Nothobranchius furzeri: one gene and its partners. The protein of the gene in region 3 purifies or fractionates together with the protein of the main gene of each other region. This does not show direct contact. Links are inferred from orthologs where the notes say so. Each region holds a gene or a part of one and is shown on either strand. Other genes may lie near its edges.

The links.
Region 1: the proteins of get3 (region 3) and bag6 purify together in Homo sapiens (co-immunoprecipitation; 5 studies listed by BioGRID and IntAct, with this or other methods). This does not show direct contact. The link is inferred for Nothobranchius furzeri from reciprocal best matches to the Homo sapiens genes GET3 and BAG6.
Region 2: the proteins of get3 (region 3) and ubl4a purify together in Homo sapiens (affinity purification with mass spectrometry; 4 studies listed by BioGRID and IntAct, with this or other methods). This does not show direct contact. The link is inferred for Nothobranchius furzeri from reciprocal best matches to the Homo sapiens genes GET3 and UBL4A.

Annotation. Positions count from the first base shown.
Region 1 is NC_091745.1:60,794,731-60,798,380, forward strand, and holds part of bag6 (large proline-rich protein BAG6), read left to right. Parts: intron 1-143; coding exon 144-276; intron 277-1,187; coding exon 1,188-1,388; intron 1,389-1,468; coding exon 1,469-1,691; intron 1,692-1,970; coding exon 1,971-2,021; intron 2,022-3,650. UniProt on the Homo sapiens protein: ATP-independent molecular chaperone preventing the aggregation of misfolded and hydrophobic patches-containing proteins.
Region 2 is NC_091757.1:40,380,063-40,384,432, reverse strand, and holds the start of ubl4a (ubiquitin-like protein 4A), read left to right. Parts: upstream 1-1,427; 5' UTR 1,428-1,617; coding exon 1,618-1,665; intron 1,666-4,370. Other genes in the region: prkg1l (cGMP-dependent protein kinase 1), read right to left, coding at 1-57. UniProt on the Homo sapiens protein: As part of a cytosolic protein quality control complex, the BAG6/BAT3 complex, maintains misfolded and hydrophobic patches-containing proteins in a soluble state and participates in their proper delivery to the endoplasmic reticulum or alternatively can promote their sorting to the proteasome where they undergo degradation.
Region 3 is NC_091746.1:25,391,977-25,396,219, reverse strand, and holds the start of get3 (ATPase GET3), read left to right. Parts: upstream 1-1,402; 5' UTR 1,403-1,828; coding exon 1,829-1,977; intron 1,978-4,243.

The DNA of each region.
Region 1 (3,650 bases), on a different chromosome or scaffold from region 3:
AGGGAATTAGTTATAGTTCACACGACCAGTCTTCGGTAATTCTATAAATGTGTCAAACAGCCTCATCTGAACTGGTGCGGTTGTTTTTAACGTGTAATGGGTTTCCGTCACTCTGACCAGTTTGTTTTCTTGTCCTCCTCCAGTCATCCCAGTCCAGCTGAACTGGCAGAGATGCTGTCTGAACTGCGGCGAGTTGAAGAGAGGCTGCAGCCTTTTATCCAGAGGGGTCACACTATTCTGGAGACGGCCACCACGGCAGAGTACAACAACAACACGGTAGGGTCCAAACTCTCCCGCCACCATAAATACATCTGAATGACCAGAAGAGCTGCTTTTAGATCCGTACACTTCTGAATCAGCAGCACATACTTCAAATTATTTTGCTCCTTAAACTGGCTCAGTGTGTGTGTGTGATTGTGTGGGCATGACTTCTATTTTAGCCTTGTTATTTTATGTAGCTTATATTTTACTACCTCCTTACATGAGCTGTCTTTAACTCATTCACTGCCATTGACGACTAAATTCGTCGTTTGCATTTTTTTACTGTGTGGGCGTCCGAACGAGCCCCCGCACCGCGTGAACAAACATCCCAGCTCTAAAGTCGATCTTCATCCACGTACGTTACACGTCACGTGATCAGTAAGCAGAAAACCCATGTGTTAGGAGATCGTTTTGGACCGTTGCTGTAAAATAAGTGAGGCGCGAACCGGAAAAGCTTCTGCCGATCACAATTCGACAACGGATTATGAAAGAACGGATAACGCTGGAAACTTGTGGATTCTTCTTGATGTAAGAGGTGAGTTTACTCTTTGTTGTGGTAGTTTTGGCGTTGACATCATCGTAGCGCGTAACGTTCTGTGACGGCGAAAACCGCTGGCAATCAGGAAACGGCTGGCAGGGAATGAGTTAATGAGCACAAAGTCAGTGTCGTTGACGTGTGCAATGACAACAAAAATCATCTTGAATCTTGAACATCTACCTTTAATAATTAGTCAACCAGCTTGTTGGTGATTTTAGCTTTGTTTTAAAAGACGAAATAATGCAACCTTAGATGCATATGTAGTTTTTGTTATGAATGTGGTTAGCTCTGTTTTACTTATCCTGAGGTGAAATCGCTTTTGGTTCTTGTTCTAAAGGGTTTTAAACATCTAACATGAACTAAAAGCAGATTTTTTTTTTTCACACAGGAAAGAGAGGAAGACCAAAGAACACTCTTCCAGATTTGTGAGTGTTTTCGTCTCCTTGGCAACGCCCTGGTTGCCCTGAGTGACCTGCGGCTGAACCTCATGACTCCAGTCCCTCGTCACCTTCATGTGATGCGGCCATTTTCTCACTACACCAGCCCCGTCACCCTCCCTGGAGCCGTGCACCATCACATCCCAGTGCAAGTACGAGGTGTTGGGGTGTTCAGCTGATTGGTGTTGTGTCTCTGGTTGCGCCACACTGAATGAGCTTCTGTCACCCACAGATGAACTTGGGTGCCACAGTGACTGTTGCAGGTAACAGCACTGAGGGACAAACTCCGCCCACCCAGCCAGCCAGCCAGTCGGAGCAGGCAGGTCAGGGACAGACCTCCCCCTCACAGACTACCCCGTCCAATCAGCAGGCTGGACAGGGACAGGCTGGCCCCCGGGTCATCAGGATCAGCCACCAGGCAGTCCCGGTGGTCATGATGCAGATGAACACGGACGGTGTGTTGTCCCCTCCCCGCCACTGATTGAGTCCTGTGTTTGTGTCTCAGAGGACTTCATCCATAAGAGTTGCTGAAAGACGAAGCGTGGATCTAACCAGACTAATGAGAAGTTTTCTCCCATGTTTGTTAAACCAGCCATGACTCTGATGTTGGAAAGGCACATTGTTAGAAAAACTGCATAGATTGTTTGGGTTGTAATTATAAATGACTTGCACTTGTGTAGAGCTTTTCCAAAGCACTTGATACTAGTTTTTCTGTTTATTTCTGTTATTTGCAGGCCCAAGTGGAAACTCAGCTGCAGGTACTCCACAAATGCCCGGACAGCCAGGTAAAGAGTCCCCACTCTAACTGGATCCAAGATTCTTGTTACTTTATAAAAGTTCTAAATAAATCCTGCCTTACCTGTTTCTGACTGGCCTTTGGTCACAGAAAAAGTTTAACACTTTGAGGACTGATAAGCTAACGGCTAGTCCAAGTAAGCAACTCTGATCTGGATTTTTCAGCAGTTTAGTTCATAAAATGTGACTTTTTAGTTTGAATCAGACTATTTAGAACTTCCTGCGGGACTCGAGTCCAGGATGGCCTGGAAGCGCTACATTCACCTGGAGATGTTTACATTTGTAAATAATTGCCGAAATCCATGCAAACAACCACAGGATATGAAACCAAAAATGATGGAGAGGTTAAAGTTTGGGATTTGAAGTTGGCTGCAACACACTTGTCCACTCTGAGTTGGCTTTTTGCTTATCGTAGGGTTGGGCATCGTTTGATTTTGAACGATTCCGATTCCTCGTTTCGATTCCTGTTCCTATTGATTCCTGATTCCGATTCTTTTAAGACATTACATGTTTTAAACGAGCTAGCCAACCACAGGTTCTACTTGAATGAAATAATCTTAACTTCAACATGAATTTTAATTCTATGAACACTAACATCACCTTCATTTAGACAAAAACATGTTTTGGAGATAAAAAGAAAAAGACTTGCAGCACAACCAGTGTGTTTGTTTCTGACCACAACCAAAGTCTGGAAGAAGCCTCTGGGATGAGAGGCTAAATGTCTCCAACATATCCAGAAACGTCCAGCTGTTTTCAGCTAAAACTCTCAGGATGATCATGTCCAGGATGACTGACAACTACACCTCCATGCTGCAGCAGCATTCAGTCAGAACAGAAACTGAAACCTAAATGAAGCTGCTTGTCAGTAACAATCTAACCGATTTTAAACATTAAAGTCAGGGGGGCTCGGTGCTGCACACAGACAGCTGGTGTGATCAGCTCTGAAAGGTTTTGATCACAATTTGCAGATCAGGTTTATTTTTCACGGAGATCGGCTGCAAATTCCTCTTCTGGTCGGCATGCTAGGAATCAAAATAAAAAAAAAAACTTTTAAAGTCGGTCCCGGTTCCAATCGATGCTTGATGCCCAACCCTACTTATCAGTCATCAAAGATGTTACATTTTCTAAGAAGAAAGGCTGCTCACGAGTCTTATCTGTGATGTGCAGGATCAGAAAAATGTGAACTCAATATTAATCATACACTTCAGATTAGCTTGAATACCTCTTCAACTCTTTGTTTTAAAGGTGCGGTTCACTTGTTTAATCGATACATTTGCAGTGGTCTCTAGTGGGACTGAATGCTTTGTAAGTTGTACTCTGTAAATTAACTCGAACTGGTACATGGACCGGTACAGTATTGATGTGGTTGGTGGATGATCCATCCAATAGAGAGAAGTTCAGAGTTCAGACCAAACCAGTCGTTCCTGCCTTGCTCCATCGCCATTTGAACCCGCCCAATTCGAGTCTAATTTCCCCCCAACATTTACAGGTTCTTTGTTCCGACGATGATGTGCAGGGTTTCCCCCAGTGCTTTATAAGTCTGGCGGCCCGCCAGGCTAAGCGTCATGCCCCGCCCCCCTCCCAGACCCTACCGTGTCCGCTGACACGAATGGCGCAAC
Region 2 (4,370 bases), on a different chromosome or scaffold from region 3:
ACGGAGCTCCTCGATCTTCAGCTGCAGGGCAAACTGGAGGTCCCGAAGAGTTCCCATCACCTGTAGACAGACAGACAGACAGACAGACAGACAGACAGACAGACAGACAGATAGATAGATGATAGATAGATAGATAGATAGATAGATAGATAGATAGATAGATAGATAGATAGATAGATAGATAGATAGATAGATAGATAGATAGATAGATAGATAGATAGATAGATAGATAGATAGATAGATAGATAGATAGATGATATATAGATAGATAGATAGATAGATAGATAGATAGATAGATAGATAGATAGATAGATAGATGATATATAGATAGATAGATAGATAGATAGATAGATAGATAGATAGATAGATAGATAGATAGATAGATAGATAGATAGATAGATAGATAGATAGATAGATAGATAGATAGATGATAGATAGATAGATAGATAGATAGATAGATAGATAGATAGATAGATAGATAGATAGATAGATAGATAGATAGATAACAAATGAAATGTGTTTTGCATGCTCCAGTAAGACTATAATAGTGTTTCAGACACTCATCACTTACCACGTGCAGTCTGGGTATCGATCAGTACCTCTTCCTCACTCCCGTGAGTGCGTGCTTATTTGACTCCGTCCATCCGACAGGTGTGTACATCTCTCCTGCAAGTGCCCGAGTGAAAGATGCTTCTCCTGCTGGCCGGGACTGAGCAGGCAGCGTAGACAGGCAGTCACGTGACCAACATCTCGGAGACCATCCATACGGGAGGGGAGAGGTAATGACAAATGCGTGGACTGGATCCGAATTGGGTCAGACGGTCCTCGGAGTCCATCGGAACCAATGGGGAGCGTCAAACTGAGAATAGCCTTTCCCCCCAGCTAAAACAAATCAAAGGTTATCTGTGTGCACTCTGATAGCTCCTTCTTCTGTCCAATGAGGCGTTTGTGCTCCATTTCAATAGGTCCGTTTTACGTTAATCTGTGATTTATTTTATATGTTTTATTTGGCAACACATTGCAATTCAATGTAATTGCTACTCAGCGTTGTTTTGTGTCAAATTCATTTTTGCTCGAATATGGAAGTGTGAGTTCGTGAGGAAACATAATAAAAATAAGAACAAAGGCGATATATTTAAAACAAGCAAACTTGAAGCTGTTTCACAAAAGTCTAATCGGGGTATTTGGGGGTATTTCGGCTGTGAAATTAAAAGCCTGTTTTATTTTCTCGGGCGGACAGAATAGGCTTGATGTTAGACGACTACTGCAGGTGAAATATGCTGATTTTCACAAGTGTGTTTGAATCAATTGTGATTTTTTAAACATAATTTTCTACGTTTGAAATGCAGATTTCTGTTGTTTTCCAGTTTTGTTTGAAGGGCTGAGATATTCCTGCCAGACGGTGGCGCTGTTGTCAGTTGAGAGCAAGCAGTAGCTGCAGAAGAAACAGAGGAGAGTCGCAGAAGAAGAAAAAAGAAGAAGACGTTCCACTGAGAAGAGAACAATCTGTTTGCTCGTTACCAACCACTAAAGTAACGTTATTTGGGTACATTTTAAATCATTTAAAGTTTGAACCTCTTCGCGTGTGTTTGGTTTGATATTTTTGCGGCTCTCATAATGATTATCACGGTGAAGCCGCTTTCAGGACTGGAATGTAACATTCAGGTGAGTTAACGCATCATGATGCTAACTGCCGGTGTAGCCAGCACACCGATGGTTATTTATCATATTAGTTTGCAAGTAAAGGGAGAACATATATGCTTCTTTAGTCAGGAAATTAGACAAAACACACCATTCTATGTAGGTTATGTGGGGTTAAACCGGTTAAACATAAACATCTGAGACGAGTTTAAACGTTATCTCTACCGAAGCTGTCCTGCTAGTTAACACTAATGTCACAGGAGGCCTTAAAAATGCACGTTTTTATGCTTTATTGGTTGTATTTATTAAAGTGGAAGGTTGTGCGTGACTGTATGACTTGGACAAATGTTAGCTTGGAGTATGGTTGCTATGGTGATCGTAACAGGGAAATCACCCAGAACTTTAGTTTTTAAACCAAAGCATTCCGTTTTTAATTCGTAAACGTGCAGATTCCATTCAATTTCAACATTTGGAAATTAGATGTGTTTACTCATTTGTAAACACTTCGATCTTTTAAAGCACCGTCGCGTGACAATCAAAAGGTTGTATTTTAATAGCTGAGGTAAACTAAATTCCCAAATCATTGTGGCGTCTACCTTTGTCTTTAAGATGTGAAGAGTCTGATCTTGCGTAACTCAATCCCGTGTTACTACACACAGAAATAATTGATACGCTTTTAATTTCTTGTTTATAATGATTTTACAGATTTAAGTAGGTCTGGGGTTTGAGCCAACAGCGCACCACAGCCGAGACATTTTCTAATTTATGTAAATTAGGACAACGAAATCACGGTGAGCAAATTCAAAAGTTGTCATTTACATTTCTCACAAGCCTGATTTAAACTTTGCCCTTCAGAATAACATATTCATTGAAATTCGTTTCATTTTTGAGTCGGCAGCTTAAAGAATCTCATTATTCTTCCCTCTGGCTGAATCCAGTCTCATTAATGTTTGCTAGCGACTCGAGAAACCTGTCTATAATACCCTTCTCTGTTTCCTAAATAAACAGAAAATGTCATTACCAACAGTGAGTTTATTTAAAAAATGATACATGAAGTTGATGCAAAGTTAATTGCCTAAACTTTGTTACTGCGTCACTTTCGTCTCAGTTGCTTGTGCTTCTTTTACTTCCTCTCAGTGCTTCCTGTCCTTATATCCAAACTCACACAAAGAACCAGTCTTCTGTCTCTGCTTTTAACCATTTTCTGGTGTGAAAATGCAGCAAAAATTATAACAGGCTAGTAATTATTCTACATTATTTAATCCTGTACAAAAAACACAACTGTGGTGCAGTAATGAGTATAAGTTTGTATATTTAGCTGGATTAAAACACCACAAATAAATAATGCTTTTGCTTAAAGAGCAAATTGCAGGTTAGAGACTCAAATAAACCAATGTTTAGAGAAACATAATAGCAACTCGTTTTAAACTTTTTTTTACACATTCATAAATTATTTAGGCTTTTAGAGTCATTTTTGTGAGAGAGTTTTTTTTTTATTTCTTTGCCAAACCAAGTCAGCCGACGGGGTCCTGTTAGCTTAATCTAGAGAAAAATGTAGATCCTAATGTCGGCTCTGACACAGAGGAAACTTTAAATGTTTGTAATTATACTTATGATGGACCAAAAAAAAAAACAGCTGGCCCGCTGAGCCGCCTGTCTCTTCTGGTGGTCGGTTCTGACCTGGTTCTGACGGTGATCTGAGTTCCAGAAATCTGAATGTACTTTTTTAAACCCTGCCACGGGTCTCCAGAGCCCAGCGCAGACCTCCCTGTCTCTGTACCAACCGATTTGGGCTACAGAAGTCCCGTCTTTTCAGCTGCACAAAACGCCCTCAGGCATGTGAGATAGAGGCGTAGTTTCTCTTATCTGGAAACCCGTGGACTCGATGTCCAGAAAGGCTGGAGTTGGTACAGCCTTCACAAACTATAGTTTATCAACATGAACACAATCCAAAACTAGTAAACACACACGCTGACTGGATAACATGACCGCTCTACCCTAAAACTACCCACTCTCCACACAGAGCTGAGGCAGCGCCTAGCTTCTAACTCCCTTTGGTTACATCAGAGGTTCAGATTTAGAAAAAAAGAGCCTTTTTAGAAGCTTTGCTGAGAGAGGCCACTTTTTACTAGAAAACTGCTGTTTTTAAACCAAATATCCACAATAAGCATTTCAAAGAGTATGTTTGGACAGCATTTTATATGAATTAGAAAAAAATATGTTACCTGCAACTTGCTTTTTAAAGAGTTAGTCACCCCCTACAAGAAATTCACGTTACTCCCACTTCATCTTTGAAAAATGCAACAAATGCTGTTGCCTGGCAGACCGAGAGAGCGGAGCCGCTAACAAATAAACACAAACAGGCTCACAAAAGCATTGTGACATCAAAATGTACTAGCTAACGTCATTGCATACCTCTTAGCCAATAGCAGTGGCAGGTTTAAATTTAAATGTAGTGAAGAGGTTTTACCGGACGACGGCACAACACTGACAGTTTTAGTCAGAATATTTAAAGTCCAGGGGCCACGCACAACGGGGTTGGAAAACTGCGCAAGCAATTTTCCACGCAAACTTTGGAATTCATGAAAGAAAACTTTGCGGAAAATTGTGCGCAACTTTAAGTTGACTAAGGACCTGGCTTACGCACATTTTGGACATGGAGAGCACCTGCAGTGCTGCTGCTGAGAAGGATAACATTATGAAATTCTGCAGCATTATCACTTGTACTG
Region 3 (4,243 bases):
TGGCGGCTCATGTCATCAGCTTCTGAAGCCTCGTGGTAGCCTAGTCATAACAACCAGATTCGCTACGTCAGCCTAGAGATTCTGAACCACACACACACACACCAACACTATAACATTCAAATACGTATGCATTCATCATTGAGATAGTCCTGGTAGATTGTAAGAATTTATAATTATAAAAATTAAAGATTCTTAAACGATCCCAACTCTCTCTTTTCTTGTCTCTCAGTCAATACAGAGTGTTTAAGTAAACTCCCTGATGATAAAAACAACCACTTCTGATTATAATATTTAGCTCTAATTACAGTGTATAAATATACAAACTATAGATCACTACAGTGTTGTGAAGTGCCTTGGGGGGTTGTAGAACCCTAAAGTGCTGCCATGACAGTCTTTGCTGCCTCTATAAACACTCCAAATGTTAACGTCCATGCATATTCTGTCTGTCAGTGTTTGATTTTAAAAATGAATAGCCTTTAACAGCCATTTCAAAAAGTCCCTGTTTGTGACATCACAAACTGGCGGGACCCTCCCTTGCCTCTCTAGGCTGGAGAAAAAGCAGCTCTACTCTGAGCCTCTCAGCTTACAGCAGCATATCAGGTGACGAGTGGGTGTGGCCAGCTCCAGCTTGTTTTCTTAAAGTGACAGATCCTTGAAACGGCTCATTCTGGAAGGTATTAAAACGGTTAAGAATAATGCTGCTGTGAGGAATTTTGTATAGAAAACTTCATGAACATGTTTTGTATCAACTAGAACTAAGAAAAAAAGTTGTAATGGGTTAAAACAGGTTTATCTAATAAAAGGCAGCTTTATGTAGAATATAAAGGAGGAGAATATATGTATAATGCAACAAAGAAACGTTTTCAAATAAAACTATTAAAAATAACGGAATAAAATAAAAATATATAAAAAAATTATTTCAATCAAACAAATAAAGTAAAAGTTTTTAAGAATTAAGATTTATTTTTAGATAAAAAACACTACATTAAGTTTCCTTTCTCCTCGTGTTTCTGGTTTGGTATTGTACCAATTATCAAGATAATGATACACAAATGTTGCTTAAAACACCAAAAGTGTTTTCTTAACAAATTATTGCACATTTTAAAATCCAGTTACAACCTCTGTTGCTATAAACCCAACAACATTACCTCATTTATCACTTAAACAATAATAAGATGATAAAACACTTCCGCAACAACAGTAAAACTAAAAAAAATGTTGCCTTAAATTTGGCACCACTTCTTTGTTGTGTGTGCACATAAATTTATCTTTTTAACAATCATGACTTTTAGGAGGTAGAAAGAAGAAAAAACATTTTTTACATAGCACCTCTCAATAATCGCAAATCGCTTCATGACAACAAAAAATTAAAAAGTATAAAAGAGTAAGACTGTTAAAAGGGGCAAAAGAATATTCTTTGTACAAACTAACTATGAAGAAGTCTATTATGTCATCCAACAGATTCATATTTTATAGATTTCACTGGTGGTCTGATGGAAGACCACCATGATGGTGTTTCATTGGCAAAAGTACCCTGTCAACAAACGCACCCCACGTCACGTGACGATTCATCCAGAGGCAGAACTTGTAAACTACAATTTTTTCAGGATGTTGTCTTTTTAGTTTGTGTGCTTTAACGCTTTTCTTTTGATCACACGTGTATGATACTCAGTTTACAAAGTCTAAAATAACATTAAAGGTAATTAAATGAATAAAAATAGCCAGTAGCATCTCAAGAGCTACTCACAACTAACGCATAAACACCCGCTGGACTGTTCGGAATTCCGAGGAGCCTTGAACGCACCGGTCTTGTCTGTGTACAAGCAAGATGGCTGCCGCTTCTGCGATGGAAGACGAATTCGAAGATGCGCCCGACGTGGAGCCTTTAGAGCCAACTCTGAAGAATATCATCGAACAGAAGTCACTGAAATGGATCTTTGTTGGTGGGAAAGGTGGTGTCGGTAAAACCACCTGCAGGTAAAGTACAGGAAGTGCTCACATCGACCTGAGCTAGCTAACGCAGCTAGCTAGGTGTCAACTCAGAATTTGACATGTGTCAGTTTCAGTAAAATAAAGGGGCAGGCCTTTTTCTTAACATTGTACCGATTTTAAACTAAAGTCTTCATGTTGTGTGTCAAGTAAAGTATCATCGTTCGATGATTGTCGACAACTGAACGCTTTCTAGCCCAGTCAGCAGCTAAAGTTAGCAAGATGACACATGCATTCATCAGGTTTTAGCTACTTGTTTTCAGCTGTTTGAACAAGAATCACGATGGAACCTGTTGGACTATCTGCAGATGTTGCTTCAGCCCAAACACTCGAGAGTAAATCAGTGATGGACCCAAGGGAATACAATTCATCACACGTGCCCGTGTTTGAAAAGCCTTATGAACATGTTCGTTTCGTTCAGTTGTTTTGGAAAACTTGTGAAGGTTTTAAGTCACTTTCTAAACTTTTATCAACTTTATTTGTTCGATATGAACCAGATATACGTTGATAGGCCAAGTGTACAGCCTTCTGCATAAGGTTCTCCGTCTTTTATCCATCCTTTGTTTAAAGACATAATCAACACTTCTCCTGGATTTCTGAAGGCTTTTCTGATAGACGGCAGCATTTTGTGACATTAAAAATGGAAGAAGGAGGAAAGATCAAGGAGAAAGTGTTGATACTGTAAACAATCAGCTGTAGATAAATTATTAGAGGTCATCTCTCAGATTTGGAAAACGATTCCGGTGTTATGACTATGTGCTTCCTCGTCGAATTTTCTTACCAACGCGCATTTCAACAGCTGATTCAGTCTGTCCATGTTAGCTACTGTTAATTTATTTTATGGAGAAAAAAAGTGGATAGTGTAAGAAGCATTTTAGTCATTTTGTAAAAATTAACCCCTTTGTGCCGGCTTGTTCACATACACGAGAGACACGAGCGTTCCTTTTACTGATGTTTAATGCGGTCTTGCATCTTCTTTATCTTTACACCACATGAACACCTCCTTGAACCGTCACCTTATCGTGGTGGAGGAGTTTGAGTGCCCTAATGATCCTAGGAGCTATGTTGTCTGGGGCACTTAGTGCCCCTGGTAGGGTCTCCCATGACAAATTGGTCTTAGGTGAAGGGTGAGACAAAGAACGGTTCGAAGGATCTTTCATGGCGGTTAAAACGAAGAGTCGGAGTACCCGGCCCGGAGGGTTACCGGGGTCCCACCCTGGAGTCAGGCCTGGGGTTGGGGCCCGTGAGCGAGCGCCTGGTGGCCGGGCTTTCGCCCATGGGGCCCGGCCGGGCCCAGCCCGAACCGGATACATGGGCTCGTCCAACTGTGGACCCACCACCCGCAGGAGGAACATGAAGGGTCCGGTGCAATGCGAATCGGGTGGCAGACCAAGGCGGGAGCCTTGGCGGTCCAATCCCCGGACAAGAAAACTAGTTTTTGGGACATGGAACGTCACCTCGCTGGCGGGGAAGGAGCCGGAGCTTGTGGCAGAGGTTGAGCGGTACCGGCTAGATATAGTCGGACTCACTTCGACACATTGCATTGGCTCTGGAACCCGAGACCTGGAGAGGGGTTGGACACTCTACTTTGCTGGAGTTGCTCCGGGTGAGAGGCGGAGGGCTGGGGTTGGCTTTTTGTTAGCCCCGAGACTCTCTGCCTGTGTGTTGGGGTTTACCCCGGGGGACAAGAGGGTAGCTTCCTTGCGCCTTCGGGTCGGGGAACGGGTCCTGACTGTTGTTTGTGCTTATGGGCCAAATTTCAGTTCAGAGTACCCACCCTTTTTGGAGTCCCTGGGACGAGTGCTAGATAGTGCTCCATCAGGGGACTCCATTGTCCTGCTGAGGGACTTCAATGCTCACGTGGGCAATGACAGCTTGACCTGGAGGGGTGTGATTGGGAGGAACGGCCCACCTAATCTGAACTCGAGCGGTGTTTTGTTATTGGACTTCTGTGCAAGCCGCAGTTTGGCCATAACGAACACCATGTTCGAACATAAGGATGCCCACCGGTACACTTGGTACCAGGGCAGCCTAGGTCGCAGGTCGATGATAGATTTTGTAGTCGTATCATCTGACCTGCGGCCGTATGTTTTGGACACCCGAGTGAAGAGAGGGGCGGAGCTGTCAACTGATCACCACCTGGTGGTGAGTTGGATCAGATGGCAAGGGAACATGCAGCGTAGACCTGGCAGACCCAAACGCATAGTGAGGGTCTGCTGGGAACGCCTGGCAGAAGAACCTGTCAAGACGGTCT